3 linked regions of the Arabidopsis thaliana genome follow. The protein of the gene in region 3 interacts with the protein of the main gene of each other region in a pairwise test. Each region holds a gene or a part of one and is shown on either strand. Other genes may lie near its edges.

Region 1 (11,020 bases), on a different chromosome or scaffold from region 3:
CAGCGAGGTAAGATTTACTTTTTCAAATAGCCAGATGCTCGAGAAAAGGTAACGAGTTCAATAAAAGATAAGATCACTCGTTCTAGGCAAAATGCATTAATATAGCCCTTCATTTTCACCAACAAGGTAATCTATAACTGCAAGTTATCAAGTCAGGGAACACTTGCCTGAACAGCAGGAGATGCATTGCCAGGTCTGCCTTGGGGGGAAGATCGCCTTGCCTCTATCAAGTAAGATTTCAGTAATGAGACAGGTGAGAACTGTTCTGTGAGTTCAAACGCAAATGCCAAGTTAACCGCATCAATCTGTTTTCCACTGTTCACGAGAACTTCAATCACACCTGGAATAAAAGGAGCAGTGCACATTAAAGATAAGATCAAGGGATAAGGTAGAGAATCTGGGTGTAAACTAAACAAGGAAAAACACAGATATCCACCATGTTTAGGCCCTTGACCAGAGACCCTATCACTCACTAAATAGTTACTATCAAACATCAACTTTCCTATCGAAATGTCATAACCTGTAAGATAATCAGCCATATACTAAAAGTTAAGAGAACAAACCAGGCATTTTTTCAGCTAATCCAAGTGAACGGCAGAGCTCAGCTGCCTGACGGCGACGTGAAACCATGGGGATCAGCTTTAAGAGTTCATCTTCTTTAAAATCAGCAACAATAGCAAAAGTGGCCAGCAGTTGCAGGAATGCATGAGCCTCCAAAGAATTACCATTGCAAGCATCCATGTCAAGAGATTCCAGCAGTGGATTCCATCCTTCTGCAATAGTTTTGGCTCTATGCTTAACATTTTGTGAGAGAACAACAGCAAGGCAGTTGCGGTCCAGACCAGATAACAGTATGCTAAGGCACTCCATCAACATGATACAGGTTCTGCGCATGCCCAAGAGGTTAGCGTCTTTTTTTCCATCAGCAGTTGGTGCCTCCATAGGGTAAAACCCTTCCAAAGAGTCCAACACTAAGCTGGCTGGGTTTGCTGCAGCCCTGAACGCCATAGGAATCTCCTCCTTTAGTGATGCAAGGTTCTTGCGGTTATCTGATACAAACTTATGGAGACCCGTTGAGTCCATATCCCCGCACAGTTTCAGTAACTGTGGATAAGCCTTCACCTCATAATTTCCCATCACAGGTGAGATCTGAACATCTTGCACAATACCATCCGGATTATCATCGGTAATACTATCAGCAGCAAAGACATTGGATGAATCCTCTACAGCATTTTGTGGCCAACGTTCACCAACAGAAGGTTTACTGACAGGAGCGTTGTTATACTTATCCAAAGCACTGTTTATAGTAAACATAGCTGCGTCTCTCTTCTTCTGAAGCCTTTCAAGCGCCGCCTTCTCCTTAGCCTCAACAGCTGCCTTCTTTTTCTCCAACAGTTCTTGAGCTTTCCTTGTTTTGGTTTCATACTCTTTTTCTTGATCTTCAAGCTCATGAAACCTTCTCTTCAAAGACCTCTCAAGCCCATGAAAATGCTCCTCAAGTTCCTTCCACTTCAGATTAAGTGTTACAGCACGCTGACTTTCAAGTTCAGCAAACGCCTTCTGAAGCTGCTGAATCTTGGATGATGTAGAGTCCATGAGTGAAGCAACTGACCGAGTATCCTCCATCACAAAAGAGCCTAAATAAAACGGAAATTTAAGTAATGATTAAAAAGTCCCGAACAAATAAAAACAAACATGAGTACAACGACATTAGAGGCCAGACACAATATTGTTACCAATTCAAACAAGTCCAATCTCCAAGCTGCGAATAGAGAGCTCCACGAAATCTCGATCCTTGAACAACAAACAACTACAAAAAAAAAAATCATCAAGAACAGATAAACAAAGATCAGTCAAAACTATCCAATGACAATATCACTCGTTAAAGATAAAAACAAATTAGCTCTGTAACAAGACCGTACAAGTCATAGTGGACAACTATGTAAGAAAATGGCCTACAAGGCAAGTAAAGACAAATGAACAAGAAACCCCCAAAAAAATGAATCCATTCAAGAAAAATTCACACTATTTTTTAGTCACAAAGATAATTCAACCTCAAGAACTAATCAGACGTACTTATAAAAAAATTAGCTGAAATAATACAAATACAGATTAAGAGAAGAGTAGATGACGAAATGAGAGTAGAAACAAGCAAGCTGATTCAGTGATTCTATGAAATCCCAGCTTAATCCATCACATAAACAAACTTCACGACCAAAATTCAAGGTCATAGCAGAAATTTTGAGCTATATTGTGGAGAAATCAACAAACCCTAGCTACAGTGAAGAGAACACGAACATGAACTCAAAACAAAAAAAAAGTATATACCTCAAGAGAAGATAAAAAAAAAGCAACTTTACCAGGAAAATCAAACGAAGTAAAAACCCGTAAGAAGAAGAGATCAAAAAACTTCAAGAAGGACCACATGATCGTAGATCCATGGTGAAGAGCGATCGAGAGAAATCGAGGTTAGGCAGAGAGAGAGAGAGAGAGAAGAGGAAAGTGAAATCCCTAAAAAGGAAAGAGGAAAGTAGAAGAGAGGCAAAATAAAAGGAAGCAAAGCGATTTATAACAGACACTTTATTAAGCACACCCAATTTTACTTAGTTGGCACGTGAGAGAGACTGGTGTGGTTTAATGGCTCGTTCTTCACTATCATATCTGGTTCGGACCAGACAGCTTATGTGGCTCTAGTCAAACCCTTTAAAGTTTGCGTCACGTGAGTTTGTCTGAAACTGCCGGGAACTTGTAATTTACTCTTTCCTCCTTTTTTTCTATTAATTGGTATATTCACCATCTATGTGTATCAATCACTCTTTAAATTCCTTAACTTTTTTTACCAAACACCCAATCTTTTTAACCTGTTGACGAAGCTTTGGCTTCATGCTTAAGGCTATGTTATAATGGGGAAAAAACTAGATTGCACAATCTTTCATAGACTGATATTCTTCATCGGATGTTTCGATCATATAAATTGTCTCCAAGGATGAAACTATGTGTCTAATTTTTTTGAATGCAAAATTTATATATGATTGTTTTCTTAATAAGAGCAACAATGAAAATATAGTTTGGTTATACATTGGTATTTGTCAAAGAGGAAAGACTAAACCAAGAGTAAATAAATCTTACAACTTCCCAAATTGTTGGAATTCTACAATTGTATTATATATGGTGAATGATTTGGTACAAAACATTACAAATATCAAATGAATTTCGAAGTTGGTTCAGGTCACGAATGGCGGATTTGGCTTGGGAGAGACTAGAGGTTGTGATTCGTGGTTTATCTCCTCTCTAAAATCGTTATGTTACAAACTGACTATCAAGGATAATCATATCAATCAAGATAATGAAGAGAATCAATATCGTCAATCACGTTAATTGCTCATAATCATTGTATACAATATTAAGTTTCCTTCAGTAGCTTTCTAGTCTTTGTATATAAACACTCTGTAATCATCTTGTTTCATATATTCGATATACTCTTAGTCTACATGGTATTAGAGTCTCTGTATATAAACACTCTGTAAAATTTCTAAAATCGTTATGTTACAAACTGACAATACATAAACAACACGAATTAACATTTTGGGGTGTTTGCTGAACCGTGGTTGGCGGGTACATCTGCTAAATGAACAAGCTTTTTATATATATATATATATATATAACTGTCAACCCATAATTTAAAGATTCCAACAACAACAAAATAAGTACTACTCCTAATAAGTATTTAAATATGTGACATGATATTCAATTTTTGTGATACAAATTATTATGCATTGGTATTTGTCAAAAACTAATACCAAGAAAACATTTCTTGTAAATGTCATATTCCATTCTTTGATTTGGTCAAAACACCAAAACCATTTACAAAATATCCAGAATTATCTAAAAACGAATGAAAAGCGAAAAATACCAAATGGAAGAAAAATTTGTCCATCTCCTAACAAACAAGATAATATATATGATGATGTTGAAAAGTCAAAAAGAGAAGAAAGAAAAAAAAAACATTTAACGCGCAAAGACCGATTTGGTTTTTGTTGGGAGTCATTGCGTTCTCATCATCAGTGTCTCTCTTTTCTTTGCCCCATTCTTCACGAACTTTCACTAGACGACGACGACGATCCAAAGTCCCAGTCAACTCACTCACAAAGACGACTCCTTTATTAAATTATTCCCAACTCCTTTCTTCATCATCATCATCATCATCATTCATAACCACTTAGCCACAGATGCGATTTTCTTCTCCTTCTTCATTGTGCTCTTCAACACTTATGAACAAGAGCACCACCACCACGACAACGACGACTACAAAGACCAAAGCTTTCGTTTTGTGTTTCTGATTTTGATTCGTAAGTTGTTGTAAATTTTTCTAAGTCAACTTCAATTTTAAAGATCGCTTTAGTCTTTTTGATTCGCTGGCGATAATCCAATTTTCGTTGTTGCTAATAAAGTTTTGATTTTTTTTTATTTGCTTACAGGATTTTGATGCTCATCGAAGAGAACCCTTGATTTTGTTGCTGTAGTTCATAGAGATTTTACACATTTTGTGGAATTTAGTGGATTTATGATGATGGGTAGGTTAGTTTTTGTAATCTGGCTCTATAATTGTCTCTGTTTGCTGCTACTCTCGAGCTTGGTTGACGCGGATCAGGCCAACATAGATTGCTTAAGGACCTTTAAATCTCAAGTAGAGGATCCAAATAGATATTTATCGACTTGGGTTTTTGGCAACGAGACTGCTGGTTATATCTGCAAGTTCAGTGGTGTGACTTGTTGGCATGATGATGAGAATAGGGTTTTGAGTATTAAGCTATCTGGTTATGGTCTTAGAGGAGTGTTTCCTCCTGCGGTTAAGCTATGTGCTGATCTCACTGGTTTAGATCTTTCTAGAAACAACTTCTCTGGACCTTTACCAGCCAACATTAGCACCTTGATTCCACTTGTTACGATTCTAGACCTCTCCTACAATAGCTTCTCTGGTGAAATCCCTATGTTGATCTCCAACATTACCTTTTTGAACACTCTTATGCTTCAGCATAACCAGTTCACGGGTACTCTTCCTCCCCAGCTAGCGCAACTTGGACGGCTCAAAACATTCTCTGTGTCTGACAATCGTCTCGTTGGTCCTATCCCAAATTTCAACCAAACCTTGCAGTTTAAGCAGGAATTGTTTGCTAATAACCTGGATCTGTGTGGTAAGCCTCTAGATGACTGTAAGAGTGCTTCTAGCTCTCGTGGTAAAGTTGTTATTATAGCGGCAGTTGGTGGACTGACTGCAGCAGCATTAGTCGTTGGGGTTGTTTTGTTCTTCTATTTCCGTAAATTGGGTGCTGTTCGGAAGAAGCAGGATGATCCTGAAGGAAACAGATGGGCAAAGAGCTTGAAAGGACAGAAAGGTGTTAAGGTAAAAACATCATTGATTTGAATTTTGCTGTATGTGGTTATGTTCTAAATTTATGATATATGTTTGGTGCTTTTGTGAATGTTCAGGTTTTCATGTTTAAGAAATCGGTTTCAAAGATGAAATTAAGCGATCTTATGAAGGCAACAGAGGAATTCAAGAAAGATAATATCATTGCAACAGGAAGAACAGGAACTATGTACAAAGGTAGGCTTGAAGACGGGTCTCTACTTATGATAAAGAGGTTGCAGGATTCTCAACGCTCTGAGAAAGAGTTTGATGCAGAGATGAAGACTTTGGGCTCTGTTAAAAACAGAAACTTAGTCCCTCTCTTGGGCTATTGTGTTGCCAATAAGGAGAGGCTTCTAATGTATGAGTACATGGCAAACGGTTACCTTTATGATCAGTTACATCCTGCAGATGAAGAATCCTTCAAGCCCTTGGATTGGCCTTCAAGGCTGAAAATCGCGATTGGGACGGCAAAAGGATTGGCATGGCTTCATCATAGCTGCAACCCGAGAATCATCCATCGCAACATAAGCTCGAAATGCATATTGTTGACTGCAGAGTTTGAGCCAAAGATCTCGGATTTCGGTCTAGCTAGGCTGATGAACCCAATTGATACCCATTTAAGCACATTCGTCAATGGAGAATTTGGGGATTTCGGTTATGTTGCTCCCGAGTATTCAAGAACCATGGTTGCAACTCCAAAAGGAGATGTCTACAGCTTCGGTGTTGTGCTTCTAGAGCTAGTAACGGGCCAAAAAGCAACGAGTGTAACAAAAGTATCTGAAGAAAAAGCTGAGGAAGAAAACTTCAAGGGTAACCTCGTGGAATGGATTACAAAGCTATCAAGTGAATCAAAACTGCAGGAAGCAATCGACAGGTCCTTACTTGGGAACGGTGTGGATGATGAAATCTTCAAAGTACTCAAAGTAGCATGCAACTGCGTTCTACCGGAAATAGCAAAGCAGAGGCCAACCATGTTTGAAGTTTATCAGCTTCTAAGAGCCATTGGAGAGAGCTACAACTTCACCGCCGATGATGATATCTTAATCCCATCTGAATCAGGTGAAGGCGATTTCATTGAAGAGCTCATAGTTGCTCGTTGATCAAGAGGAAGGGTAAGAATTGTGAAACAAACATCTCTAGTCGTAGCAGTCCAAAGATATATATAATGTATAAGTATTGTTTTTATTTTATTTTTGGGTTCTCGTCGTCGATGGTGTGTTGTAATATGATATATTGTTAGATGCACTCTCTTATTACTATGTACTAAGCTTTGGGTGTGTGGTACAGTCACTGTTTTGGTTTTGCCACTACGTCTTTGCTGCCTTATATTTTGCAGCACTAATTTGGTTGAGGAGAATACAGTCATCACGTGGGATATCTTTGAAGACTAACTATGTGCTCGATTTGGACCCACTGACTATGGAGATTTCAACGAAACTCTGTCCGAAATTGGACAAACCACAAATATATTGCAATGACGAATGATTGGGTCAAGAATACCAAATTCAAAATAACTAGACTTAGTCAATTCTTGGTTTTCTTTTTTTTTTGCTTAATTCTCGTCGACAATAATAGAAGAATTAACAAGTGTTCTTACATCACCTTTTCACTTCCAATTTTATAGGAATCCATGATTCCATTTCGTTAGCTCCTTGATGTAAAATTTCTATTTAAGGACACCAAAACAAATATACAAAGCAAAGATTAAATTTTCTACAAAAACTTCTTCTTTTAAAGTTTAATTGAGACCGCATTAGGTTTCCATGCAGCTGAATGAAAACATACATGTACCGATTAACCATGAAGTTTCGTGCACTCGGCTTAGTTCTTCTATTAGCAGTGGAGACTTGCAAAGCTGAAGAGATTACGTGCGAAGAGACCAAGCCATTCACATGTAACCAAACTGATCGTTTCAACAGAAAACATTTCGATGATGACTTCATCTTCGGTGTTGCATCTTCTGCTTACCAGGCATGCAACAGATCACATATTCTCCCAATTTTGACGTAAAAAACAATTCACTAACACTAAATTCCAACGTTGCATGGTTGTTTTGTTTCACTTCAGATAGAAGGTGGAAAAGGCCGTGGCCTTAACGTTTGGGATGGCTTCACTCACCGATATCCAGGTTTGTCGTTTGCATGGTTGATATATAAAGGCTTACATATTTATACGAGAGAAGTGTCGGTACGTTATCTCTCTATACATTCATAGTAATGTCTTTGTACGCTACCAGAGAAAGGAGGACCCGATTTAGGGAATGGAGACAGCACTTGTGGATCATATGAGCACTGGCAGGTTAATACGTGTGGAATTACTGAATTTAGTCACTGAATTTTTATCAACTACGTGTGGAATTTACATGTGATTATTTGTATTACTACAGAAAGATATAGACGTAATGACCGAACTCGGGGTTGACGGCTATAGATTCTCGCTTGCTTGGTCAAGAATCGCTCCAAGTATGTACACATTAATCCATGCATGTATATATGAATATATATTGTTTGTCGTAAAAATAAATCTACGATCTATATGAGCAGGAGGAAAGGTGAAGAGGGGAATCAAACCAAGCAGGTGTTAAGTACTATAACGATCTCATAGATGGCCTCCTAGCAAAGAATATAACTCCTTTTGTTACCCTCTTCCATTGGGACCTTCCTCAAGTTCTGCAAGATGAATATGAAGGTTTCTTGAACCATGAGATCATGTATGTTATCGATGCCATGCTACTTCTTAATAAATATGACAACATATAAAAGATTTGATCTCGCATTAACGAAATGATTCTATAATATGAGCAGAGACGATTTCAAAGATTACGCGAATCTATGTTTCAAGATATTCGGTGATAGGGTTAAGAAGTGGATCACGATCAACCAACTCTATACCGTTCCTACTAGAGGTTATGCAATGGGAACAGATGCACCGGGTCGATGTTCTTATTGGCTTAATAAAGATTGTTACGCCGGAGATTCTGGAAGAACCTTATATCGTTGCACATAACCAGCTTCTTGCTCATGCCAAAGTCGTCCATCTTTACCGGAAAAAATATAAGGTGAGTTCTCTGGTTGAAAAAGATATAATCTGACATCTGATTCTAGATAATTTTATATATATATATGCAATGCTTCCTCACAACAGCCAAAACAAAGAGGACAGATTGGAGTTGTGATGATTACTAGATGGTTTGTTCCATATGATAGCACTCAAGCCAACATAGATGCGACTGAGAGGAACAAAGAATTCTTCTTGGGATGGTATATCTCTCAATATATCCAAAAATAAATAATAGATGTACATTTATAGAAACTTATTAAGGCATGTGTATAAAATAGGTTCATGGAGCCACTAACAAAAGGTAAATACCCTGATATCATGAGAAAACTTGTGGGTCGACGCCTTCCAAAGTTCAATAAGAAAGAAGCCAAACTTGTAAAGGGTTCATATGATTTTCTTGGTATCAACTACTACCAAACTCAGTATGTCTATGCCATTCCCGCAAATCCTCCGAATAGACTCACCGTCCTGAATGACTCGCTCTCAGCATTCTCATGTACATCTATATCTATATTGCTATTTAGTTACAACTTTTCTTTACAAATACTATCTTCTTAATTTGTTTACAATATTTTGTGACCATCCCATTACTTTATCTTTGTGTTTACAGATGAAAATAAAGATGGTCCCATAGGTCCATGGGTATGCATGCATGATCCATCCCTATATTTCATTATTTTTAAGAAAAAGATAACATACATAAATATACTTGGGATTTATCTATGTTTCCCTTTCTCAGTTCAATGCAGATAGTTATTACCATCCAAGAGGAATTTTAAACGTGTTGGAGCACTTCAAAACTAAATACGGAAACCCATTAGTCTATATCACTGAGAACGGTGAGTTACTTATCCTTGTAATTATATTTTTTTTCTCTTTATGCATGTTTAGTTAATTTATTTCTAAATCGGTCCAAGAAATCGACTCATTTGTGTAACTGGTAACGATGGTCTAACTAGGATATAGTAGCCCCGGTGGTGACACACCCGCCCTTGATGTTATAGCTGATTCCAACAGGACTGATTATATATGCAGTCATCTCTGTTTTCTCCGTTAGGCCATCAAGTGAGTGGATTCTACTCGTCTTCCTATCTTCTTCTACTTAATTTTTATATATATGTATATGGATGTATGATCAACAAGAAAATTGTCTCTAATGATTGTTCCTGTTTTTAGGGAGTCTGGTTGCAATGTGAAAGGATACTTTGCTTGGTGTCTTGGGGATAATTATGAATTATGGCCATCAAGATCATTTCATGTCTCCCCTTTCTACTTGCTCCATAGAAAGGACAAAGGAGCGTTCCCTTCATTCGAAGCATAATTCATCTAGTGACTGACGATTTGAGTTATATATTCATCCTTATTGTTCGTTTGGACCTCTTTGTTGATGTTTAACGAGTTATGATATAAGAAAAGGGAGGAAATTATTGCCATGCTTAAGGCCTAGAGCACTGAATCTCGACACTTTTTAATTTATGTTTTAAGTTTTAACCATTCTGTTGTAGACTTTGTTGCGACATAGCCGTCTCCAATAAATTAGTTTGGAGACTCACATTCAGATTCAAACAACCGATGTCTAAACGTTCTGATGAATCCCTATGATCTTAGGCATCATATCTTGATTATCCAATGTCGTAGCTTAGGGCATCCAAGAATGTTGGTCGACCAACACCAATGAATTATGAACCATCGTATCTCCATGTTCTTTACAGTCTCTTTCCCTAAGATTGAATATCTTCTTGTGCTAGGTAAGGCTCCAATACCATTTGTAAGTGTAGAAGAAACACACAATAACATAATTTTAACAAGCTTAATCAACATGCATACGTTCTCAAATTTTATTGAAATTGTTGATTGTAAAATTAGAAAAAAAGACAAAGAAAATAAAGAATGTTTGATGAGAATCAGACAGAGTGCTCTTTAAGCTAACCTTGTAAAAAAAAAAACACTAAAGCAAATGTCAAAAAAAGAAACAATCTAAAAAAACTCCAAAGTCAAAGGAACTAAAAATCAAACAATGTCCTTCCTTTGAATGATTCACCATCTTCTCTTTCACCTTCCCCCATTTTCAAAAACCCAGAAACAAAGCTTCTCACTTTCTTCACCCAACCATGAATTCCCCAAGACCCATCTCCGTCGTCTCCACCTTCGCTTCACCATCCTCCACCTCTGACCCAACCCGAAAACCCTTAAGCTTATGGCCAGGTATGTACCATTCACCTGTCACCACCGCTCTTTGGGAAGCCAGATCCAAAATCTTCGAATCTCTTCTCGATCCTCCTAAAGACGCTCCACCACAGAGCCAGCTTCTCACCAGAACTCCTTCTCATAGCCGTACCACCATTTTCTACCCTTTCTCCACTGATTTCATTCTCAGAGAGCAATACAGAGATCCTTGGAACGAGGTCCGTATCGGGATCTTGCTCGAAGATCTCGATGCTTTAGCCGGCACTATCTCCGTCAAGGTATCTTCATTTGCCAAATTGAGTGATAAAGTTTGATCCTTTTTTAGGATACTGTGAATCTCTGTCCTCTGACTATGGTTGT
Region 2 (11,955 bases), on a different chromosome or scaffold from region 3:
ATGAAACACATAAGTTTGCTTGATCACACAACAAGATGGAAATCAGAGAGATAATTAAGTAGCCAAATCTCTTCCTCTACTCATACTGCTAGCGTCTACAGATCCTTACCGCGGATGACATGGAGTTTGATTGCGTAAACGAAAGTTCCCTTGCGCAAGAGCTCACACAAAATGCGGTCTTCTTTCTTCAACTTGTTCCTCTTGCATATGCGCATCCATCTTTTGATACAAACACGCTGATCCTTCCATTTGGCTGTTTTAGCACTTAGTTTCCCGAACCTGTCGATGTAGTTAACATAGTCTCCAAACCTCAAGCAATAGTCTTTCACCAGTTGTGCATGAACCAACTGTAAAAAAGATACGTACACAAAGCAGACAAGAACGTTAATGAAAACAATCTTTAAGTTAAAAAGAGTAGTAGTATATGAGGACAAGAAGTTGCAGTTCTTACCAGCTCGTATAACCTATTCTTCACGTTTGTCTCGAAATGGATATTCTTAGGATCATCGAGGTATCTCTCAGGATTCTTGATCATGGGATCGACTGTAAGAATCTCAAGAGACAAAAGCATTAGCATCTCAAAAATCAATTACATAATGAAGTGATGGAACTAATTAAGACAACAATGTGATTACCTTTCTTCCTCTTCTTTGCCGCCTCTGGTTCCATAGACAAAGCAATGTTGCATTAAGATAAGCATGGAAGAAATGAAGTTAAAAGTGATGAAAGTAAATGTATTTTACCTTTCCTCTTCAGATTAGCAACCTTATTTGCAACCTTTGGTTTGACAAAAGAGGCAGTGGCTGTGTCTTCTTTATCAGGAGCATAAGAACTGTCCTCCTCACTGATGGAATTCTCTTCAATATCCAATTGACCAAACGTTTCAATGTAATCACTGTCACTGTCCTCCTCTTCGTCTTCCTCGTCATCAGAGGACTCCACAACTTGTTCTTTCTTCTTTCCTGAAAACATCTCAACAAAGAAGACATGATTGTCAATATATAAAACAATCACATAAAGAAACAATTCAAGTTATGCAATGAGCTAACGATGAGTTTAAAACCTTTCTTCTGGCTTTTTGGTATTGTTGGCTTGGCCACCTTGAATTCAGAATCAGTGTCTGTCTCTGTTTCTTCACTGCTTTCAGAATAAACACTATCCTCCTCCTCATCGTCATCAGAATCCTCCACAACTTCCACTTTTGACTTTCCTGCAAACAAAAATCTCAAAAGTCAAAACAAGCAAAATCACATAAAAGCAAGTGATGGGAAAAAAAGCTAACAATGAACCTTTGTCTCTGCCTTCCGGGACTGTATTCTTCATCTCAGATTTAGCACCAGTGTCTGTGTCTTCACTGCTCAGAGATATAACACTGTCTTCTTCTTCCTCTTCCAATTCAGTGACTTCGCTAATCTCTTTACATGCGTCGTAGCCGCGAAAGATACTGACCTCGAATATGTGAGCTCCATTATAGGCAAAGGTCAAAAAGTCTCCATCGTTAAGAGTATTATCCCGAACAAATTTGGGCCATCCTTGTGAAAAAAGCACTTCATCATCCTTTATCTCCGTCGCTACCTTCCAGGAGCATCCACCAGGTCCTCGGAGAATCACAGTCTTGGGGAAACGATGTGGAATGTGATCGTAGTAGGAAACTGGGATCACCTGCTCATTTCACAGAAAAATTGTTTAACTTATAAGCCAAACACTCAATAGATAAGTAAAGACACAAAAAAAACAAGATAACTTTAAGGTAAGTCGGAGAGAGTCATTAAAGAGGCTTTCCACACACAACAAGATTTGGTTTCAACCAAAAGCGTAGGGACAGTTAAAAGAGTCAACTTTCCAGAACCAGACAAAATCAAAGCATCCAGTCTCAAAATTTTATATCTTTCAGCATTTAGAAGCAGAACAAATGTTTCTATTCATCAACAGAAAAAGAAAACAAAATCTGAGCAAAACTACTTTATACTTTGATGAAATTTAGTTCCAGTAACCAAACATATCCAGTGTTAAGTCCATAAATTAAGCTGATTCATACAGAAAGTTTAAATCTTTAGTCAGAAAAAGGAAACCAAAGGGTAGGAATAAGAGCAAAACCCTAGAAACAGAAAAAGCAAAATCTATAGAGGAAGCTAAATGCAGATAAACACAGTGTTTGTTTCATAAAAACCATCAGACATAGTTCAAAGAAACCACTAGGCTAAGAGAATCTACCCAGTTCAAGAATCGTTTGCTCATGAACAGATAAACCTGAAAGAAGAAACCTCGAGAGAAAATCTTACCATGAACTCTGAGCTGAAATGGGAGACGAAAACAGTGAAGAAACGTGGAGGGAGCTGGAAATCATTGCTAGCCATTGAAGAGGCCATCTTGGATCTGTGTGTGAAGAGAGTGAGTGAGAGAGAACGAGTGAAAGAGAAAGAGAAAGAGAAAGAGAGAGAGAAGAGTAAAGAGAAAAAGTAAAGCTAAAATGTTGTATGAAGAGAGAGTACCTTACCTTGACGCTTGAGTCAAATCAACGTTTAAGTTTTTGCAGAGAAAGGAGGTACAATCCTCAGACCCTCGTATTCTGCGTGGCCATTTCAAATTATTTTCTTTTAAACGGTTTGATCTCCCAAACTGAACCGATAATTTATTGCTACTCCGGTCCAGTTCAACCTCAATAACCGTATAAGTAAATGTCTGTTAAACCGGGAAAATTCACTTTATTATTTCTCTATTTTTTTTCCCCTGAAAAATCAATCACATGAATGTATCTTCACACTACTACATATACAACAAACATACACACAGAGAGAGAAACAAACTTATGTAATTTCCACAAAGAAAGAAAGAATTTTAGGAAAAAATATCAAGAGGACGAGCTGGCCTCTATGCTAGTAGTAGACATCTCTTGGAACATGGAAGTTTCTTCAACATGCCACTTGAGAATCTCTCTCGCATACCTCAGTGCATTGTCCACAGTATCACTCTCCAAGCTCACTTGACAAACAAACAATTTTGGCTTAAAGCTCCTTCCACGCATATTTACGGGTTCCAAGATTGAGTCATAGAGTCTCTTGAACTTATATCCAATGTAATGGAAAGCACGCTGAGCCATTGGAGGGTTGTGTCTGCTCGTCTGGTTCTGGCTGATCAATGGGTTGAAGTCTTCAAACCACTCACAGGTTCTTAGAGGAACCTCTTCGATCTTTTCTTCTAGGAGATCAAATTTGGTTAGAACCAAAAGAAACCTTTTGTTAGCTAGGCTCGGGTGAGTCACCATGTTCTCGAAAAGCTGTTTGGTTGCAAGCATCTTGTTCACAATATTCCCCTCACCGTCTTCTATGTTTTCTGCATAGTCTGTTAGTGAGACACAAAATATCACCAAGTCAGCGTCTTCAAACATTTCCAGCAATTTCCAGTTTTCACCAAGGCTTCTCGGATTTAGCCGGATGAGTTGGTACCTAAAGAGAGAGAGAGAGAGAGAGAGAGAGAGAGAGAGAGAGAGAGGGTAAGTTCAACGGTTTTTCATATAGCCGGAATGCAACACAAGGAAAAAGAACAGAACTAACTTCATGTCTGTATCATGTTGATAATCGCTCTCAAGAGACTCTTCTTGAGAAGTTGATGGGAATGAGAAGTCCACACAAGAAAGTCCTTCCATAGAGGAGAGTCCTTCCGCTTGCAATATGTCCATATCAGAAGGATCGTATTCTGATCTCGAGATCTCAAGAATCTGAGAAGAAACAAATTTGGGTCAGTCATCTTTTTCCCCTTAAACAAAAGTGTTAAGGTCCTGAAAGAGCGTTTATATATGCAAGCAGGCAACTTGATGTAAACTTACTCTTTCAAGAAAATAAACGGCGTTCCTGGGAAGTGTATCGCGAAGTCTTTTGTAGGTGGCTTGAATAGCTGGTACTCTCCAGAGATCTGCAACGGTTTGAGCATTCTCACGGCTTGATGGTGGAAATATCTTCAGGTTTCCGTCTTCCTTTTCTTTCAAAACCCAATCTGAAAAATGTTTTAGTCTCGGGTTGATCGAGTTACCTGGTTTTGCACTGGTTTCATCTCCCACATTGCCTAAATCCCAAGAACTCGATCAGTCTTCCTCAATAATCAATTGTTAACTGATGTTTGTATTAGAATATGAATGCATTCTTATTCTAATAGTTTGTACAGTCAATAATAATTACCTGAAGACTGGTCATTGCTCATCTCTTTTTCAAATCTTTCATGTGCCTCAAGAACCATTGCCAGATAGGTATAGAGATTTGTTTGGATTATGAATTTGATTCTTTCACGGTCTTCTAAAGAGAATGAGACGTTGTAGAGAGACCTTGCCTGAAACAGAAGAAGTCAATTCCCGATTCTTTACTAGATGTGAAACATTCAAGTGGGAGGCATTAAGATGAATAGCTCACTTGTTTGTAAATTGTAGTGGCGCCACCTTTTTCGCTACCAATCAAAAGAAGCTTGTTAAGCATCTTCTGCTCATATAAGGGCACATCATATGGTTCTACTGCAGACGAAGCCGGAGGAACTGGCAGAGAGAACACAGCGCAAGCAATTTTTGCTCTCTTCTGTAAAAATAATATCCTTCGTTGTCTTTAGTTTTATATTTAATGTTGTGAACGAGAAAAGCTGGTGATCAGGAAACCATACCTTACTCCAGATGTTCCCGATGGGATGCTTTTGACCTTCTTCTCGGTAAGAACCATCTGAATCGACCCAAAAATGAGGTTTTCCTTCACATTGCACCCCCGCCCACTACATCAAAGCAAAGAAGCGCTCAGTTCAGAACAATGACACATACACTAAGCATATTTGTTATCCAAAACAAAGGTGAAAAGCAAAAGAACCTTGAGCATCGTGAGCTCTGGCTTGGTTATTTCCCGGCCATTAATATAAATTTCAGTGTCTCCATTGCTTACTTTCTCACTGATGTATCCTCCTATGCTGTTGTTAGGACTTATAATCTGACTAGGTTTCTCTCCTATCTGATTAAATAAACACATAGAGGCTCTGATTTAGCTGAGCACTCAAAATACAATCCCGATAATAGATACGCAGACATATATAAGAAACTGTACCTTTCCCCAGTAGCCAGCAACCTTATCATACCAATAGTGTCCGGGTTTTAGCTTCTTGGGTGGATTTGGACATGTCTGCAACGTGTAAAGCTCATCTTCACTTAAAGGCTTGTCATTGACAATGATAAGTCGTGAAGGCAATTGATTCGCCTTGCAGGTGATCTCGGCATTCATGACTTGTCGAAGTTCAGAATCCGTGAGATGGCGCTTGAGCATTCTTGAACACTTTCCGAGACTTGCTCTCTTGGACTCATCAATCCTATAACCAATGCAAGCTTGACACTTTCTTCCTTCGGGCATCGCACCCATGGCTCTGCGCACACAGTTGAAACAGTATTTGGCATCGCAGACAATACAGACTTCCTTCTCAGTAAACCGGTTCCCCAACTGGCACCGGTAACACGATCCTCTTTTACCTTTCCTTTCAGCTCTATGCGTTGCAGCTATACTTTCTCCATCAGAAACATAGGAGCTCTCATCACATTCACTACTCTGAAAAGGTTCAACGAATCTCACTGCTCTAGGTCCCACATCCGAAACTCTGTCATCATCTAAGTGATCCTCCTCTCTCGCTGATGCAGACAATGGTGATGATGGTGATAACCGAAAATCAGCAGGACTTTTCACTTCTTCTGGTACATCCAACCTCTTTGATGATGATGATGATGATGAGCCAGAAACAACATCACGCCCTATCAAAACCACACTAGAACCAGCTGCAGAGTCAACGAAACCGTTCTTCTTCTCTATTCCAGAATCAGGTGGTCTCTTGGTATCCTTAGTCATAACGAGAGGTGCCACTGGGTAAGAGATACCACTCCGCAAGGAAGAAAAGGAAACGGGAAGAGCCGTAGGAATCTGATCAACTTCAACGGGAAGAGCTCGTGGCACATTAGCAATAAGAGGACCTTTATACTCACTGGCGAATGAATATTCGATTCGATAGCCACTACTTGTTTCATCATCATCGTCACTTTCTCGATTATCCCTTTTAGGATTCGGTGATGGGAAAGGTAATAACTTTCTTATAACTGCAGCCATCTTCTTACCCAATCAAGCACACATACAAACCCAAAAAAGCCCTAATTCCTAAAATTCCCTAATTTAGAAACTTAACAACTTATCCGAGAAAACGAGAATTCATGAAGTGATAATATACAGATCCTAAGCCATTAGTGGCTTAAATAATCAAATCACAAAGCGCGTGAAATAAGAACGCAACTACAGAAATATAGAAAAAATTGATCACAGAAAGCTCCTTTAGCTTAAAGAAAGAGACGAAATTTAGTTTTTTTTTCCAGGAAAGTGGCGATGGAAGGAAGAAAAATCAGCAAATAAATTTTCCGGGAAAAGGGAATTTGCAGAAGAAGTAAACAAAAAGAAGAAAGACAGAAAGATGGGTTGGATCGTATACACTAGTAAAAGACGAGGACTTGACAAAAAAAGGGGAAGACTTTCTCTTTGTTTTTTATTTTCTCTGCAATCAAAAGGAAAAATGAGTTATTTTCCGGGAAAATTCTTGCCGTCAACGCGGGTTAGGGGAGTTGAAAACGATGCGTTGCGAAAGGCGTTGATGGAGTCAAAGAGAGAGGGCAATTTCGTAAATATATCTTCGGTCCTGCAATAATGTTCGCATAACCCGAATTACACGGTTAATAGAAAACCGGAGGTGTTGACCCTATTTAAGTATTTATCAAAGAGAGGCGCAGAGACATATATGATGATCCCGGTTGTGGAAATGTTTTCGGTTAAGTGATTGAATAAGACTTTTTTTTTTTTGCTCATAAAGATAGATTAGGTTTAAATGGTAACAGTAAATTCACAAAGATTAGTAATTTCTAACAACTTTGGGTGGATATTTCCAGGTTGGAAAATCAATTAAAAAATATCAACATCCTATATTATAATAATATAGAAAGACTAATTCTAATGAAGAGGAAAACGACTCATCCAAAATTCCAAGTTATAAAGTTGCAACCACGACATAGACCACTAAAGAAAACAAATATATATGTTTGATTCGGTCTTTGTTCTTGTTATCTTACAAATTTATGGAAAATAAATAAATAATTCAATTTCGTTTCAAACATTTTTTTTAAAGAAAAAAATAACCAAAAAACTCATTACGTGAAAACCATTAACCCGACTTTGATTCTCACACCAGCTAGCGTGGCACAAACCTCTCCGTTGACTTAGTCATAAAAATGAAATCAATCCTCTGTCTCTTTCCCGGCGTGAATATGGCTCTCGTGACGACGTGACACTCTCGTAAATAATCACACTATGCTCCTCCACTCTTATTTTTCCACATTGCGTGAACTCCACGCGCCACTTCCTTCATGCGGAGACGAAGAGCTCTTCCGCTCTGAAGATGCTGCTGGCTCGTCCATCTCCTTCCACGTGGCCATTCTCTCCGACACGCGCCACACTTTCACCGACTTGTCCAAACTTCCGCTGTATATAATCCACTTCCGGTCTCCCTCGGCCACTGAGGCTTTTGCTCCCTGATGACAAGCCCGTTCCTCCTCCACGGCTAGGCACTTGACCGGCCCCATGTGTCCCGTCAAAACAGAGAGACACTGATGGGACTTGTCAGACGGGTCCCGCCTCCATACGCATATGTTCTTGTCGGCGGAACCACTCAACAGCAAGTTCCCCGCTATACCTAGACAAAGCACTGCGGATTTGTGGCCTTTGAGTATTCCGCCTGTGAATGACCGCTTTGAACGCTCCCAATAGTTCACTAGCCCGTCCGAAGAACCGCAATATACGATGGAAGATTGTGATTTTACGGCCAACGCCGTGACCGCATTTTCTTGCTTGAGCAAAACTTGAGCTAACGTATGTTTTGTTCCTTTGCCTTGCAACTCACGTTTCCACACTTTAACAGTACCATCTGCGGATCCCGTGAACACCAAGTCATCAAAACCGGACATTACAGAGTTTATCGCGTCATCGTGTGCATGTATCGATTCCAAACATTTTGAATCCGCGATTCTCCACACTTTGATTGTCGTGTCCCAAGAACTCGAGTACAACAATCCAAGCTCCACGTCCAAGCTAAGACTAGACACTGCGTCGTTATGCTTCGTCTTCACAGAGTTTCTGTTGCGGCGTACCTCCATGAAATGCTTAGGGTTGACGGAGCTCTTGACCATTGATTTAAATGTTGGCAATGTTCCAACCCGCTTATGTTTTCCTGGTTTTCTCTTCGAAACCTTCCAAATCCGGATCTTCCCGTCTTGATGGCCGGTAAAGATTCGGTCTCCGAATATCACAATGGCCTTGATTAGCCCACTACTGGATTTAAACCCAGCGTGTTCCTTCAAATTCTTCCAAACCCTAATGTTCTTCGAATCCGAGCCCGTGTAGAGAAGGTCACCAGAAGCGGCTAGCGAGTATATATGCCCTTCTTTTCTAACAATAGATCCAATGAGACCGTTGGTCTCGAGGACATTGTCTTCGTTGAAATCTGCACCCCAAGGAGGCGACACGCGGGCCCAAGGCGACATTACGCAAGGAGAACCTTCTCCGCTGGCCGGACCGCTGCTCATGGTCGAGGCCGAGACGCTGCTAAACCGCTGGTGAGTCACGTTGCTGTTGATAATGATGGGATCGTCGGGAGGGAATATCTCGTCGTGGTCAGTTTTCGAGATATTACCAAATTTAGGCCTAGGTTTGGGACCCTCGCTAAGGTCGTAGCTCAGATTATGGCGACTGTGAATGTTGTTATATGGATCGGTTTGGAGATCAACGACCATGGTACCACCCGTTTCGTTCCTCATCTCTTTCTTCAAATCTTTATCACAAAAGTCAATTGCTTGAGTTTTTTCAAAAAATATGAAAATAGAATAATGATAAAATCTCTCCTTGCCTTTTTTTTTTTGATTAGGGTGATTTCTTTTTTGGGTGGTGATAGCTATGAATAAGATAGTCGAAGGATGATGTGTGTTTGTAGTTTTTGGTTGGCAAGGAGGGACAGAGACTTTTATGGAGATTTTTACGGAAAATTGGAGGGTCTAGAGCAAATATTGACTTTTAATTAACAAGTTTTTTGGTTTGTCAACGGCTCTTGAGGAATTGTTTATGGGGTTGCGAGAATTGATCTTATAAATGCAAACTTATATATACAGACACGAAATATCCAAAAGATTGGTCATTTGTGATATGTGATAGGGGTGCTTCACACGTGGTTGTTAATAGAGGAAGCTTCTATGATTAATCCTAAACTATATCCATGCATCGAATGTTTTCTTTTCCGTGGGCTTTACATGTACTCTCTATTACATTGAATTAGAACGTCCTTTGTAAAATGCATCTGAGTTCAGATACATTGGAATATTAGGCACGCAAGCCGAAAGGTACTTAAATCTCCTCCATAACTCATTTCACATAGCTTTACTGCCTAAAATACCATTTTTTTTTGGTTTGGTTAAAAAGATAAATACTTATATATGTACAATATTGTCGAGCATTTGTTGTCCTTGTCCCGCAAGGCCACAACACTTGATATATCCAGACAAATATTCTTGATAACGAATTATAATTAAACATATACTTACATATCAAGAAGACTATACACCACTTGAAAAGATTAGGCAAATTGTTTAGGCATGATTCCACTATCTATCAATTGCTAACTATTTATACTTATCTCCATTAAATTGGCGTTTACTATTGCAAATCGTTCTTTTGTTCTTGCTATAAGTTGCATCTTAGCATTAACAACTTAATAATGTATAATCCTTTGCAAACTTAATTCAATTATTTGTTTTTATTTAGTGGGCTCTTGAAAAAAAAAACCAATTTTTTTTTTGCGGTGATGTGTATATAAGACTAGATGCCATTTATACCAAAAGAAAGTACTTATTGTTGAAGAAAACCATTTTTATCAAGCAGTAATCCCCTTCCTTAGGTAATCATCCTAATACTAATTCAACATTTAACCAACATTTTATCATCCTGATACTTTTTGAGGCAAAGAAAGCAGTGAGTTTTATTTTTATTTGAAAGAGGGAAAAAGCTGGAAGTAGCATCTGATGGGTACTGTACGAACGAGCACAGATTCTGAAAGTTTGATATATTTGGCCACTCCAATGACAAAACACAAAGCTCCTTTCTTTTGCTTAATTACTCAAAAAAAAAAAAAAAGCGAACGCAAACTCATGATAATAAGTTCAGACCAGTTTCTTTACTTCTTTTGTCTTAACCGTAATTTATTACAATTTGTGGGTTACTTCTCTATACTTGGGATCAAATCAGAAAATGAGATAACAACTAGAAGCTATACCGGTAAATACAAATGTTTTTAGTTATTAAATTAGTTACTAATAAAATAACTCTTTTGACATCATAGACATTGAGAAGCAGCAGAGTTTAAAGAGGCTGAATTAAAGATCTATAACTAAAGAAGCAAAAGTAAGGGGTAGTCATAATTATAGTTGTACGAAAACCAGAAAAACTATAAGAAAGACAAATTAATCAGTCCAGAGTCACGAGTCTTGAAGGTGATAGATATATAGTCAAACACCTTTTGCTATGTCATCATATCTCATTTGGACTAAGCAAGAGAGGATTTGAGTTCAGTTCTGGTCGACGAAATCAGCTGGCAAGTTCAAATCCAATAAAGTGACTTTGTTGTTTAAGAAACTTCCTTCTTTTTTGGGACGTTTCTGTGAAGATGAGCAAATGGTGTCTTCCGAGCTCCTTGATCCTGAAGCTTGCTCAGGCCTCGATGTCACTCCTGTATAAAAATATTTATCACTCATTAGGATTTTGATTCATTGATTCGTTACTAGAATACAATGATCATCGTTCACCGAGAGTTGATTACCGCTTGTACCACTATCCAAAGGTTGGAATTTGTCAGCATCTTTGGAATTCCAGGAAGCATAAAACTGAGCTGCTTGTTCGATTCCCTTCGATCTGTAAGGTGAGATGTTGTGGATGCCAAGTTGGAGAGATCCGAGTAAGTCATTCTCAATGCACTCGTACATTTTCTTGCAGAGTGTATCGACGGCGACAGACAAATTGATGATTTGAATCCTTATCGCCATAACTTTATCATTACTAAATTCATCAAAGGGCTCCTCAAGGAACTGCGAAAGTTTCTCCACATTACTTTCAAGTTGTTGCTGCTGATCCTCAAACAAATTCTTCTTTATCTCTCTCTCCTCAGGGGTCATCTCATCTTTAAACATCTCTTCACCAAACATATAATATGCAAAAGCATACGAATATGAAAGAACTCGCCTTGATCTGAATAACCGGTCGAGTCCATTGGTGACCCAGCTGAAGTCTTTAAGCTTCAACTCCCTCTTTTCTGATTTCGACACTTTCTCATGGATAGTATCCCTAAGTTTATCTTCTAGCTTTGATGAATCTGTATGAGCTTTGTATCGGTGATGATAATGCGTATACCTGTTTAAATCTCTCTTCGCTCTTTCCATCTGCTTCTCTTTGTCATCTTGGTACCGACCACAACTGTGACCAGCGATACTCCTATAAGTGTGATCACTTCCAGTAGCTCCACCACATAGCCAACTGTACATTTTAATAACCAAACATGAGAGACACTTCCACCATTTGACATTTGATCGTCTCAAAGCATAGAAAAAACAAATGCAAAATAGGAAAAAAAAGCATTGAGGAAACAAGGCTCGAGTTCTTACCAAAAACACTGCCCACAAATACACCTCACGAGATTGCATCCACCATTCTTTTCCACAGGTTTGTAACATTTGGGACACAGCTTTGTGTGAACGGTTATCCAGTTGATTGTCTCAGACTCATCTCGACACTTCTTTCTCCATAACTCCCACATCAAACAAGAGCAAGGGGAGTGGGCTTGACACAGACAACTGAAACAGAACTGAAGACCACA
Region 3 (9,465 bases):
TCTGGTTGATTTGCAGGCACTGGTGGGGAGAGCATCTATGGTGGGAAGTTTTCAGGTATAATTTTGGTTTCTCTGTTTACGGCTTTCTGGTATTGATTTTTTTTTTCTCAATATCCCGTTATCCTTTTACAGATGAGAACTTTAGATTGGACCATGATGGAGCTGGAGTCCTTTCAATGGCAAATTGTGGCCCAAATACCAACGGGTCCCAATTTTTTATACTTTTTAAACGCCAACCACATCTTGATGGGTAATCTCTGTTCCTAGATTTTGTTGTTTTGAGAAATTCAAAGTTCATTGTAAAGGACTCTCAAAACGTTTAATGCATTTGGAAGGAAGCATGTTAAGGGTCCTGATTTTCCTTATCCTCATATTGTAGGAAGCATGTTGTATTTGGCAAAGTCGTTGAAGGGATGGCAGTAATCAAGAAAATGGAACTTGTGGGGACGAGTGATGGGAAACCTACTAGCCCAGTCAAAATAATAGACTGTGGTGAAACGTCTCAGATAAGAGCACATGATGCTGCTGAAAGAGAAAAAGGTAATGAAGTTAATCTTTGAATGTGGAGTTTCTATAATAATGATGGAGTTTCTAGAATAATGATGCAGATATATTTAATGTTTATTAGGGAAATCGAAAAAATCAAACAAGAACTTTTCTCCTGGTGACGTATCTGACCGTGAAGCTAAGGAGACACGCAAAAAAGAATCTAACGAGAAAAGGATAAAACGAAAAAGAAGATACTCTTCGTCAGATTCATATAGCTCAAGTTCCGACTCAGATTCAGATTCGGAATCAGAAGCATATTCATCTTCCTCCTATGAGTCTAGTTCTTCCAGTGATGGGAAGCATAGGAAGAGGAAGTCAACAACAAGACACAAAGGCCGACGCGGGGAAAGAAAGAGTAAAGGACGAAGCGGGAAAAAGAAAGCTCGGCCAGATAGAAAACCAAGCACGAATAGTTCAAGTGACACGGAGAGTAGCAGCAGTTCTGATGATGAGAAAGTGGGCCACAAAGCCATAAAGTCAGTGAAAGTTGATAACGCTGATCAACACGCCAACTTGGATGACTCAGTGAAATCAAGGTTTATCTCCCTGGCTTTATGTATTTCAGCTTTGCTTCTGCAATTTGGTGGTCTGATTTTGTGGTCACTGACAAACTTTGCCATTTTCTATTGCTATACAGGAGCAGGAGCCCAATTCGTAGGAGAAACCAAAACAGCAGGAGCAAAAGTCCTAGTAGGAGCCCTGTGAGAGTTCTTGGAAATGGAAACAGAAGTCCTAGTAGGAGCCCTGTGAGAGATCTTGGAAATGGAAGCAGAAGTCCTCGTGAGAAGCCAACAGAGGAAACTGTGGGGAAATCTTTCAGAAGCCCATCTCCAAGTGGTGTGCCCAAGCGCATCCGAAAGGGGCGTGGGTTCACCGAACGCTATTCCTTTGCTCGGAAGTACCATACTCCTTCTCCTGAGCGTTCTCCTCCTAGACATTGGCCTGACAGAAGAAACTTTCAGGATAGGAACAGGGATAGGTAACTTAATCTATACATACATACAACAAAGGACGATAGCTCTGCGGATAGTACTAAAGCCTCATTTTGTTTAATTATGTAGGTATCCGAGCAACAGAAGTTACTCTGAGCGCTCACCGAGGGGACGCTTTAGAAGCCCACCCAGAAGAAGGAGCCCTCCAAGGTTCGCTTTCTTATCTCTGTACAGATTCTGGCTTTGGCTTGGGACGATATAGCTTGTAAACCAGCACCTAGAGCCACTTGCATTAGATTTATATCCTAGAACGACCCTTTTTGTGATATTATTTTGGTTAAGCAAAACATTCTAATTGAATGCTGAAAGTTGAAAAGAGCAACTTTATAGCAATGTTGGATGTCCTCTGAAATTGAGTGTTGTCTTGCATAGGTACAACCGGAGGAGAAGGAGCACTTCTCGGAGTCCAGATGGGTACCGTAGACGATTGAGAGACGGAAGCAGGAGCCAGAGTCCGAGGCATCGTAGCCGTAGCCAGAGCCCTAGAAAGAGGCAGCCAATTAGCCAAGACCTGAAATCCCGTCTCGGGCCACAGAGATCCCCCATCAGAGGAGGACGCACCTCTCCTGCAGAATCACTCAGCCCTTCTCACTCACCTTCTCCACCAGGAAAGAGAGGTCTGGTTAGCTATGCGGATTGATGGTCACTCTCATCCATTGGTTTCTCTGCTGACTTGCGAGTTTTTGTTTTAATTTCCGTGTTTTAGTGCAAGCAATAATAGGTAATGATATTTTTTATGTTGGTCGGATATATAATACTCTACCTTAGTTGCATTATTACAGATCGTGGAACATTGATCAAATTGAGACTGATATATGTTGGCAGAATTGAGTTTGGGAATCGAAGTTTGTAGAAAATTTATCGAACAAGTAGCATAGATATCTCAACATGAAAATCTAGTAATACATGTAAAGAAAGAAGGTTAATGATATTCCGCATGTTCATAGATAGGACTCGAATCTTTCTTTACCACAAGAGGGGTTTACAATGATACAATGATCATGTCCTAGAAGAGAAGGATCAGATGGGTTGGTCTTTGGGAACGATCTGATCCTTGATCCACATGTAGATAGGGATTAACACAAACCAGGCAGCTGCTAGAGTTCCCAGGAGGAAGCGTCCCAAGAAGGAGAAGGGGTTGTTGACAGGCTTCTCTACGTCCTCTTCCTTTGGACCAAGCTGCAGCATTTGAGTGATAAGTTTAGTGTATCAAAGAGAGAAGAAAGTAAAAAAGGTGAAGTGGGAGGTAAAAGACCTGGAGAGGAGAGTCACCGGAGGCAGGTTTAACACCAGTGACAGAACATCCCATGATAAGGCCGTGCCTGCGAACACCACGGTACCACTTGGGGCCAATCCTCTTGAGCTGAACGTCCTTGAAACCGGCATTCTTGAACCACTCAATGTACTCTTCCTCCTTGGGGAAGAGCATCCAGACATCAGAAAAGAAGCGAGAGAGCCAGAAGGTTGGGTAGACAGGGCCGATGAGACACGCTTTGCCACCGATCTTGAGAACCCTGTACGCTTCCCTTATTCCCCTCTGCGGGTCCGGCCAGTACTCAATGCTGTGTGATGATGAGACACACAATCAAACCCACCGGAAAGAAGACGATTATAAGAAGAAGAAGAAGAAGAAGAAGAAGAAGAAGAAAAGGATACCTTCCAGCAGAAACGTATCTGTCAGCATAATCGGTTGGAAAAGGAAGATCCTCAGCATCTCCCTCGACGATCTTGCATTCTTTCAACGGCTCCTTTTGCTTTGCTTTGGCCAGCTGATGTGGCGACTGGTCCAGAATGGTCACATTCTTGGCCTTCACTGTCTTGACTATGCCCAGAGTAGTGAAACCAGTTCCGCCGCCGACATCGACCACTCGCATGTCCGGATGGCTGAGATCCGCTGGCTCAAGAGCGTCGTCTCTCATATCCTCGGTCCAATGCCCAGGATTGATGACATGGTCGTATACGATGGATAAGAACCTGTAGAACCAGTAAGCCTCCTTCTTGTGCTGAATGAACCTAGGTTGCGCCGATGGCCGGGAAGACGACACGCTGCTGCTGCTGCATCTAGTAGCCACCGAGAGTCTAGGTGTGGAGGTTCGGGTAACTGAGAGTAAGGTCGGCCGAGGAATCGATCTGGCATGCAAATTGGAACCAGGGGAACCTAAACCTTTGGGGAAGGTAATGGCCCCGTTGAGCATCAAAGAGGCCATCGATGACAGATCCACCAAGTTGAGAAGAGGGAAGAAGAAGCTTATCTATCACCAATTCTCCGCCAATCAAAAACACAAACGAGAATGAGAGTGTGACTAAACCCTCTAACTCTAACAGAGTCAGTACTGACTCCAACCACATGTTTATGTACGGTCACGTTGTTTGTTGCGACAACACATATCCCTTTGTTGAGCCCATGGGCTCATTTGCAAGAATTGGCCCAAATAATAGTATTGGGCGTTTTGGCATTTTTCTGCAAATGGAAGGGAAAAGTCGATTTGAGTCAGAGAGAGAGAGACTTCGACGACAATTCAAACTTGTACGGACTAAGACCAGACTCTCTCTGACGTTGTCAGATCTGCGACCTGCTAGCGAGAGGATGCGAGAGGAAACTGTGGTTTACGAGCAGGAGGAGTCTGTTTCTCACGGCGGGGGCAAGCACAGGATCCTTGCAGAGCTTGCCCGCGTTGAACAGGAAGTCGCTTTCTTGGAGGTAGCTAAACTAACTCGTATCTCTTTCAAATTCCGACGTAGGTCTCTCGTGGATAGCTCAATTATCCTTTTTAGATCAATTGTTACAACAATTAGGTAAAGGTCGCTAAGATTGTTTCCTGTGAAAGCAAAAACCAGTATGGCAGATCTGTTCCAATCAGAAGAGCATGGTAGTTCTCTTGACAATAAGTGGCACCATTTCAGTCAGTCTTGTTTATGACTCTATGAATTGTATTCCCAAAATCTAAATCTGCTGGGTTCTCTTTGGATCCACTATTGGAATGGTTCTCTGTTGATCTTATTCTTAGGGATGTGCAAGAATACTTTTGATCATAGTCCAATTAGTATCATTCTCTCTTGGTTATCATCTATCGAGGCATGTTAAAAGTTAACCTTCTCCCAAGTTTCTCTGTTGCACAGATAATGTGTTTGCCTATTGTTCCTACTAGTGAGCTCTAACACTTACTAAAAATAGCTTTACTCTCTCTTTCTGTTTCATGTACTATATCCAGAAAGAGTTGAAGGAGGTCGAGAACACAGATATTGTATCAACCGTGTGTGAGGAGTAAGTATGGGATACTCAACCTATGTTTTTTTTTAACGCTTGCAAGCAACTGTGTGCTAGCTCCTGTAGGTATATTATCTGGATTTGACTGAAACTTGTACGTTGATTGGTGATCAAATTGATATTCCCTTGGTTCGCAGGCTGCTATCTGTCATCGAGAAAGGACCCGATCCTCTGTTGCCACTGTGAGTGCTTTTTAAACCTTGAAACTCTAGTGTTGGTTTGGACTGAATAACTGATGGATGTTGTGGTGCTGGCAGAACCAATGGACCTTTGAACTTAGGATGGGACCGGTGGTTTGAAGGACCAAATGGAGGAGAAGGCTGCAGATGCTTAATACTTTGATTCGCTAGACAGAGTAATGTGTTACATATACTAGTTTCTTGCTAGGATATCATTTTACATGGGATCCAAAATGGGGCTGTAGCAGAGAAAAAGCGTACAGATTAATGAGCATTGGAATTGCATAGAACGGCTTAGTTGCACCTACGTAAACAGTATTATATGTATATGTAATGTATGGGATCCGGATCTGACATACGAGTAATGGAGTTTCAGGCTTACAGCTTCTCATCTTCTTATTCTAGATCTTGTTGAAAGAAGCTGAAATGTGCATAGTGATATTTGGGGGCTAATAGAGTAATAGCTAATGAGGAAGTGGGTACAATCTTGAAGACCGTTAAGTGTGTCTCTCTTTTTTCTTTTTAGATAACTTTTGGCCACATCCACCCTCCATGATACACACACGCTAGTTTCGAGGATCAGAATACATACATACCTATGTTTATTATATAGATAGAACGATAATGGAACACAGAGCACATGCCTCATCTGTTGTCTTTTTATTATTACTTATTACTCTTCTCCTCCACTTCTGTATTATTACAGTCTGTTAAAGTAGAACCCCCTTTTGTTTTTTTCTTTCTATGTCTCAAAAATTAAAACAAGTTATGAGGTTTAAAAAAAAAATTGAGAAATGTAGAGGGTATTAGTAGAAGTGATTTACGGTAAGTTTATTCGACAGCTAAAAAGATAGTTTATGCATTCCAAAATATTCCTCAAATTTGTGATGAGTAAACAAATACTGGTAAGGTGGGTTTTCTGACAACCTTTGGATATACAGTAGTATGTCATCTGTTTTCATTGCCTCATTGGTCAAGATCAAAGTTGATGACCTCATTAGAGCTCCTTCTTCTCCCATAAATAAAAAAAAATTGATCAAAGTTTGTAGTATGAATTTGTTATATAAACAGAAGAGAAATTAACACAGAGATGTGAGTTGGTCCAAAAGAAAAATGATTGAGCAGCCGGAAGAAGCACGTTACAACATCTGCAGCATATCTGGTCAGAGAGAGTACAGAAATATTGGGGATTCAAACAATTCACCTCGTGATGAAACCTGAACATTGAAACATGCATTATAGCCTCACTCACATGCTCACATAATGCCAAACCCTTTTTCTCTGTTCCCGCCTTGCTTTTTTTTTTCGTGGCAATAGAATACAATACATTGGTTGGGTGATTAAATAAAGAGAATGACTAGGATAAGTAAGTTAGCCGTTAAAGTTGTAAATCTCGAGTAAGTGAAGTGGTCCGTTTTTATGAAACTCATAAAAACGAAAGTCCCATGTCCCTAAAACACTAGTAGAATGTGGTAACGTATCTTCTTCACATTCACGTTTTCATATGGGAAACGAATGAAATAAACAATGCAAAACGCAATAACTTAATTAGAATCTTGAACTGGCCGATAAGTGCAACCGTAACGGAAAGCAGAGGCAGAGAGAGAAGAGAGAAGAGGGAGAGAGCTGCCTTGGGAATAGATAGAAAGAGAGCGTATCAACGGTGGTCATTACTTTATGATGGCATTCCCAACTTTGAAACTGCCACGTCGATGTCGGTCAACAGCGGGGTCCATATCTCCTCATCTTCCGTTCCATATTTTTTCCACGTGGCATTTTTCTTTCCTCTTGAAACAAGAATTCAGAATTGAATCGTAAACTCTGAACTAGAGTAAGTAAATAATGTATTGACTAGAAGAAGAAGTAAGTAGTACGGGCTGGGTAAGTAAAGATAATAAATATGCGGGGTTTGATCTTTACTTATTTATTAGGACTCAAACTTAGCCATTATTAACTCAAAAATCAAAATTACTCCTAAAACAAGCAGATAGGAAAAAACACAAATAAATAAAAAAAAGGAAATTGAATGCAGAGTTGTCAGAGTGTATTTAAAAAAGAAAAAAAAAGCACGTTAGGAGGAGTATCCTTTAGACTAGAGTAAGGGAGTGGGTGCTTTAAAGAAGCAGAGAAGCGGGAGAAGAGTGTGCAGCAGCAACAGCCAACAGAAGAAAATGGCAAAAGAGAAAGATCTGGAGAAGCAAATCGGCGGTTGCATGGCCGGCTTCTTCAACATCTTCGATCGCCCCAGTCTCCTCTCTCCTAATAAGCGTCTCTCTTCCTCTCCGGTAACTTGTCTATCTCTCTTTCCCTCTTCTCCTGTTCCTAGAGGGATGCAATGAATTGACTTACCAACAAAACAACAATGTCTGTGTTTCTCCAGAGCGCTGAATCTGAATCTGCCTCGGGTAGGACGAATCAGCAGAGTGTGTACTCTACCCCTGAGCTACGCTCTCCTGCGCCGGCTCAACAAAGATCTTCTTCTTCTTCTTCTTCTTCCTCTAGGCCTTGGAGGTTCTCTAAAGAAGCTCCGAGGCTCTCCCTCGATAGCAGAGCCGTCGTGGATGCCAAGGGCTGCCTCAAACACAGACAGATCCGAGCCGATGCGGTTGAGGCTGAGAACCAGCGCGGCTCACCCAGTGTGATCGCACGGCTCATGGGATTGGAGCCATTTCCCCAACAGCCTCTCCAGAGATCTGCATCCGAGTCCAGGGTCACCAGAGACTACATATTTGACTTTCACGATGACAAGGGAGCAGCTCAAGATCCGGCTCCAATTAGGAACGCCCGAGCCCACCCAACCTCAGTAGTACGCCGAAAGAGTTTCTTTGATTCCGGTGATTTCTTCCCGAGAGTTTCCAAAATGAGTGGATTTGACGCTCCCCCGACCGATCTGGAAACCCTCAAGCAGCTTCTCGAAGCTCTTAGGCTCAAAGGACTCTTGCACTCGTCTTCACTCAAACATCAGAGCAGGAATCTCGTCTTCGACCATCATTCTCCGATCAAACCAGTGAGGCGGGATCGCATTTCCCCGAGCGTCAATAGGAGGAGACCAAGACCAACGCTCAAGGAACAGAGGAGAGTCTCTTCACTCCCTTGGCGGAGACCAGAACCTCTCCAGACGAGGATTGAAGACCAGAGTAGCACTCTAGCCGAGGAAGAGGTACCTCATTCATTACTCGACATTTTATCTATCAAAAAGGCAGCTAATGAAATACAAATTCTGTAAGCAGATGTGGAAAGTGGATGTGTATAACAGACAAGGCAAAACCTTATTGGAGAGATGCGACAAGCTGCTCCACAGCATTGCTGAAATGGCCGCTGCTGAGGCCGGAGACTCACAACCGAGCCCCGTCTCTGTTCTTGACGCCTCAATTTACCACGAGGACTCTTCTCCGTCCCCCGTCCTGAAACGCACCCTTGACTTTGCTGATGCTGAAGAAGACGAATCCTGGGGTGGCTCAATATTATCATCGTCCGACTCTGAATATGTATACATCTCGGACATCCTCCGAGCCTCAGATTGCCTTCCACAAGAGTCCGACAGCTTCTCCTTTCTGGAAAAGCAGCAATACCTCAAAGGAAAATGCGCCTCCAGAGCCGCAGCTCAGGAAAGACGCCTCATCTTCGACGCAGTGCAAGAGATTGTGGCGCGGAGAAGGAGCTTGCCCCCGTGGATGATGGTAGGAGAGGCTGATAATAAGATGCAAGTGATCTGGTCTGAATTTCAGAAGATAAGAGACAAAAAGTCGTCCACGGAGGAAGATGACCTTGTGGGATACGTGTGCGGGGTCCTCGGAAGAGATTTGTCGGAGGACCGATGGCGAGATTTTCAGGTGGAGATGTCAGAAGCAGTTCTTGACGTCGAACGCCTCATATTCAAAGATCTCATCGGCGAGACCATACGCCAGTTGGCTTTTCTTAACAGGTCCGACTCGCTGCGTAGGAGGCTGCTCTTTTGATATAAAACTAGACTAAATTCTCTGACCCAAGTCTGAAACTAAACCCAACCTACGACCTATACCATGTCTAACCAAACATGCGAGAGTGATAGTTCTTTTGTGTGTTTTTTTGTGTGAAATGTGTGATTTATCAAGTTTGGGACTTGGCGCCTGTTGTCTAAAAGACTAAAACCATACACTCTTTTTTTTGCTCTTTCTGAATCAAACTGCTGCTCATTTGTGTGGTGTATTCGGACTAATAAAGACTTTAAAAGTGTTATGGGCTTCAAGTGGACCGTTTATCTCTAATCATAGTCTACTCCAACATTCATCTACTTCAGTAGTGGCCCATTCAGACCCAATAAGGCTTTTCGGCATTGACTTATATGAGCAGAGAGAGAAATATGCAAAAGATGATCAAAGAAAAACTTGTGATTTGTAATTTTCAAAAATATGCAAAGAAAAGCGGATCATACTCCAGTAGTCTTTTTCTTTGAAAAACAGAATCATATAATAATATCTTCCAAACTGTAAAAAGA

What was found.
Region 1: the proteins of GG1 (region 3) and BIR1 interact in a two-hybrid assay, tested with the Arabidopsis thaliana proteins (one study listed by BioGRID).
Region 2: the proteins of GG1 (region 3) and XLG2 come close enough for resonance energy transfer, tested with the Arabidopsis thaliana proteins (one study listed by BioGRID).

What each region holds. Positions count from the first base shown.
Region 1 is NC_003076.8:19,600,077-19,611,096, reverse strand, and holds BIR1 (BAK1-interacting receptor-like kinase 1), read left to right. Parts: upstream 1-3,949; 5' UTR 3,950-4,349; intron 4,350-4,478; 5' UTR 4,479-4,564; coding exon 4,565-5,404; intron 5,405-5,490; coding exon 5,491-6,513; 3' UTR 6,514-7,008; downstream 7,009-11,020. Other genes in the region: AT5G48385 (FRIGIDA-like protein), read right to left, coding at 168-340, 564-1,626; TGG3 (thioglucoside glucosidase 3), read left to right, coding at 7,214-7,361, 7,485-7,541, 7,650-7,711, 7,800-7,875, 7,973-8,123, 8,218-8,345, 8,398-8,471, 8,558-8,673 and 4 more; AT5G48370 (Thioesterase/thiol ester dehydrase-isomerase superfamily protein), read left to right, coding at 10,585-10,938.
Region 2 is NC_003075.7:16,435,737-16,447,691, reverse strand, and holds XLG2 (extra-large GTP-binding protein 2), read right to left. Parts: upstream 6,607-11,955; 5' UTR 6,114-6,606; coding exon 5,073-6,113; intron 4,980-5,072; coding exon 4,842-4,979; intron 4,750-4,841; coding exon 4,645-4,749; intron 4,563-4,644; coding exon 4,404-4,562; intron 4,324-4,403; coding exon 4,176-4,323; intron 4,063-4,175; coding exon 3,827-4,062; intron 3,719-3,826; coding exon 3,555-3,718; intron 3,447-3,554; coding exon 2,852-3,446; 3' UTR 2,686-2,851; downstream 1-2,685. Other genes in the region: AT4G34400 (AP2/B3-like transcriptional factor family protein), read right to left, coding at 96-347, 452-543, 636-659, 744-962, 1,064-1,210, 1,290-1,662, 2,283-2,369; AT4G34380 (Transducin/WD40 repeat-like superfamily protein), read right to left, coding at 7,370-8,857; ARI1 (RING/U-box superfamily protein), read right to left, coding at 10,655-10,815, 10,906-11,615, 11,744-11,955. UniProt on the Arabidopsis thaliana protein: Guanine nucleotide-binding proteins (G proteins) are involved as modulators or transducers in various transmembrane signaling systems. Binds GTP with specificity. Plays a role in the root morphogenesis by regulation of the cell proliferation.
Region 3 is NC_003074.8:23,413,255-23,422,719, forward strand, and holds GG1 (Ggamma-subunit 1), read left to right. Parts: upstream 1-3,994; 5' UTR 3,995-4,008; coding exon 4,009-4,242; intron 4,243-4,753; coding exon 4,754-4,806; intron 4,807-4,946; coding exon 4,947-4,991; intron 4,992-5,066; coding exon 5,067-5,151; 3' UTR 5,152-5,727; downstream 5,728-9,465. Other genes in the region: AT3G63400 (Cyclophilin-like peptidyl-prolyl cis-trans isomerase family protein), read left to right, coding at 17-55, 133-250, 380-540, 629-1,085, 1,187-1,528, 1,611-1,691, 1,914-2,181; APG1 (S-adenosyl-L-methionine-dependent methyltransferases superfamily protein), read right to left, coding at 2,562-2,720, 2,797-3,103, 3,198-3,748; TRM5 (zinc finger CCCH domain protein), read left to right, coding at 7,160-7,273, 7,369-8,148, 8,219-8,947. UniProt on the Arabidopsis thaliana protein: Guanine nucleotide-binding proteins (G proteins) are involved as a modulator or transducer in various transmembrane signaling systems.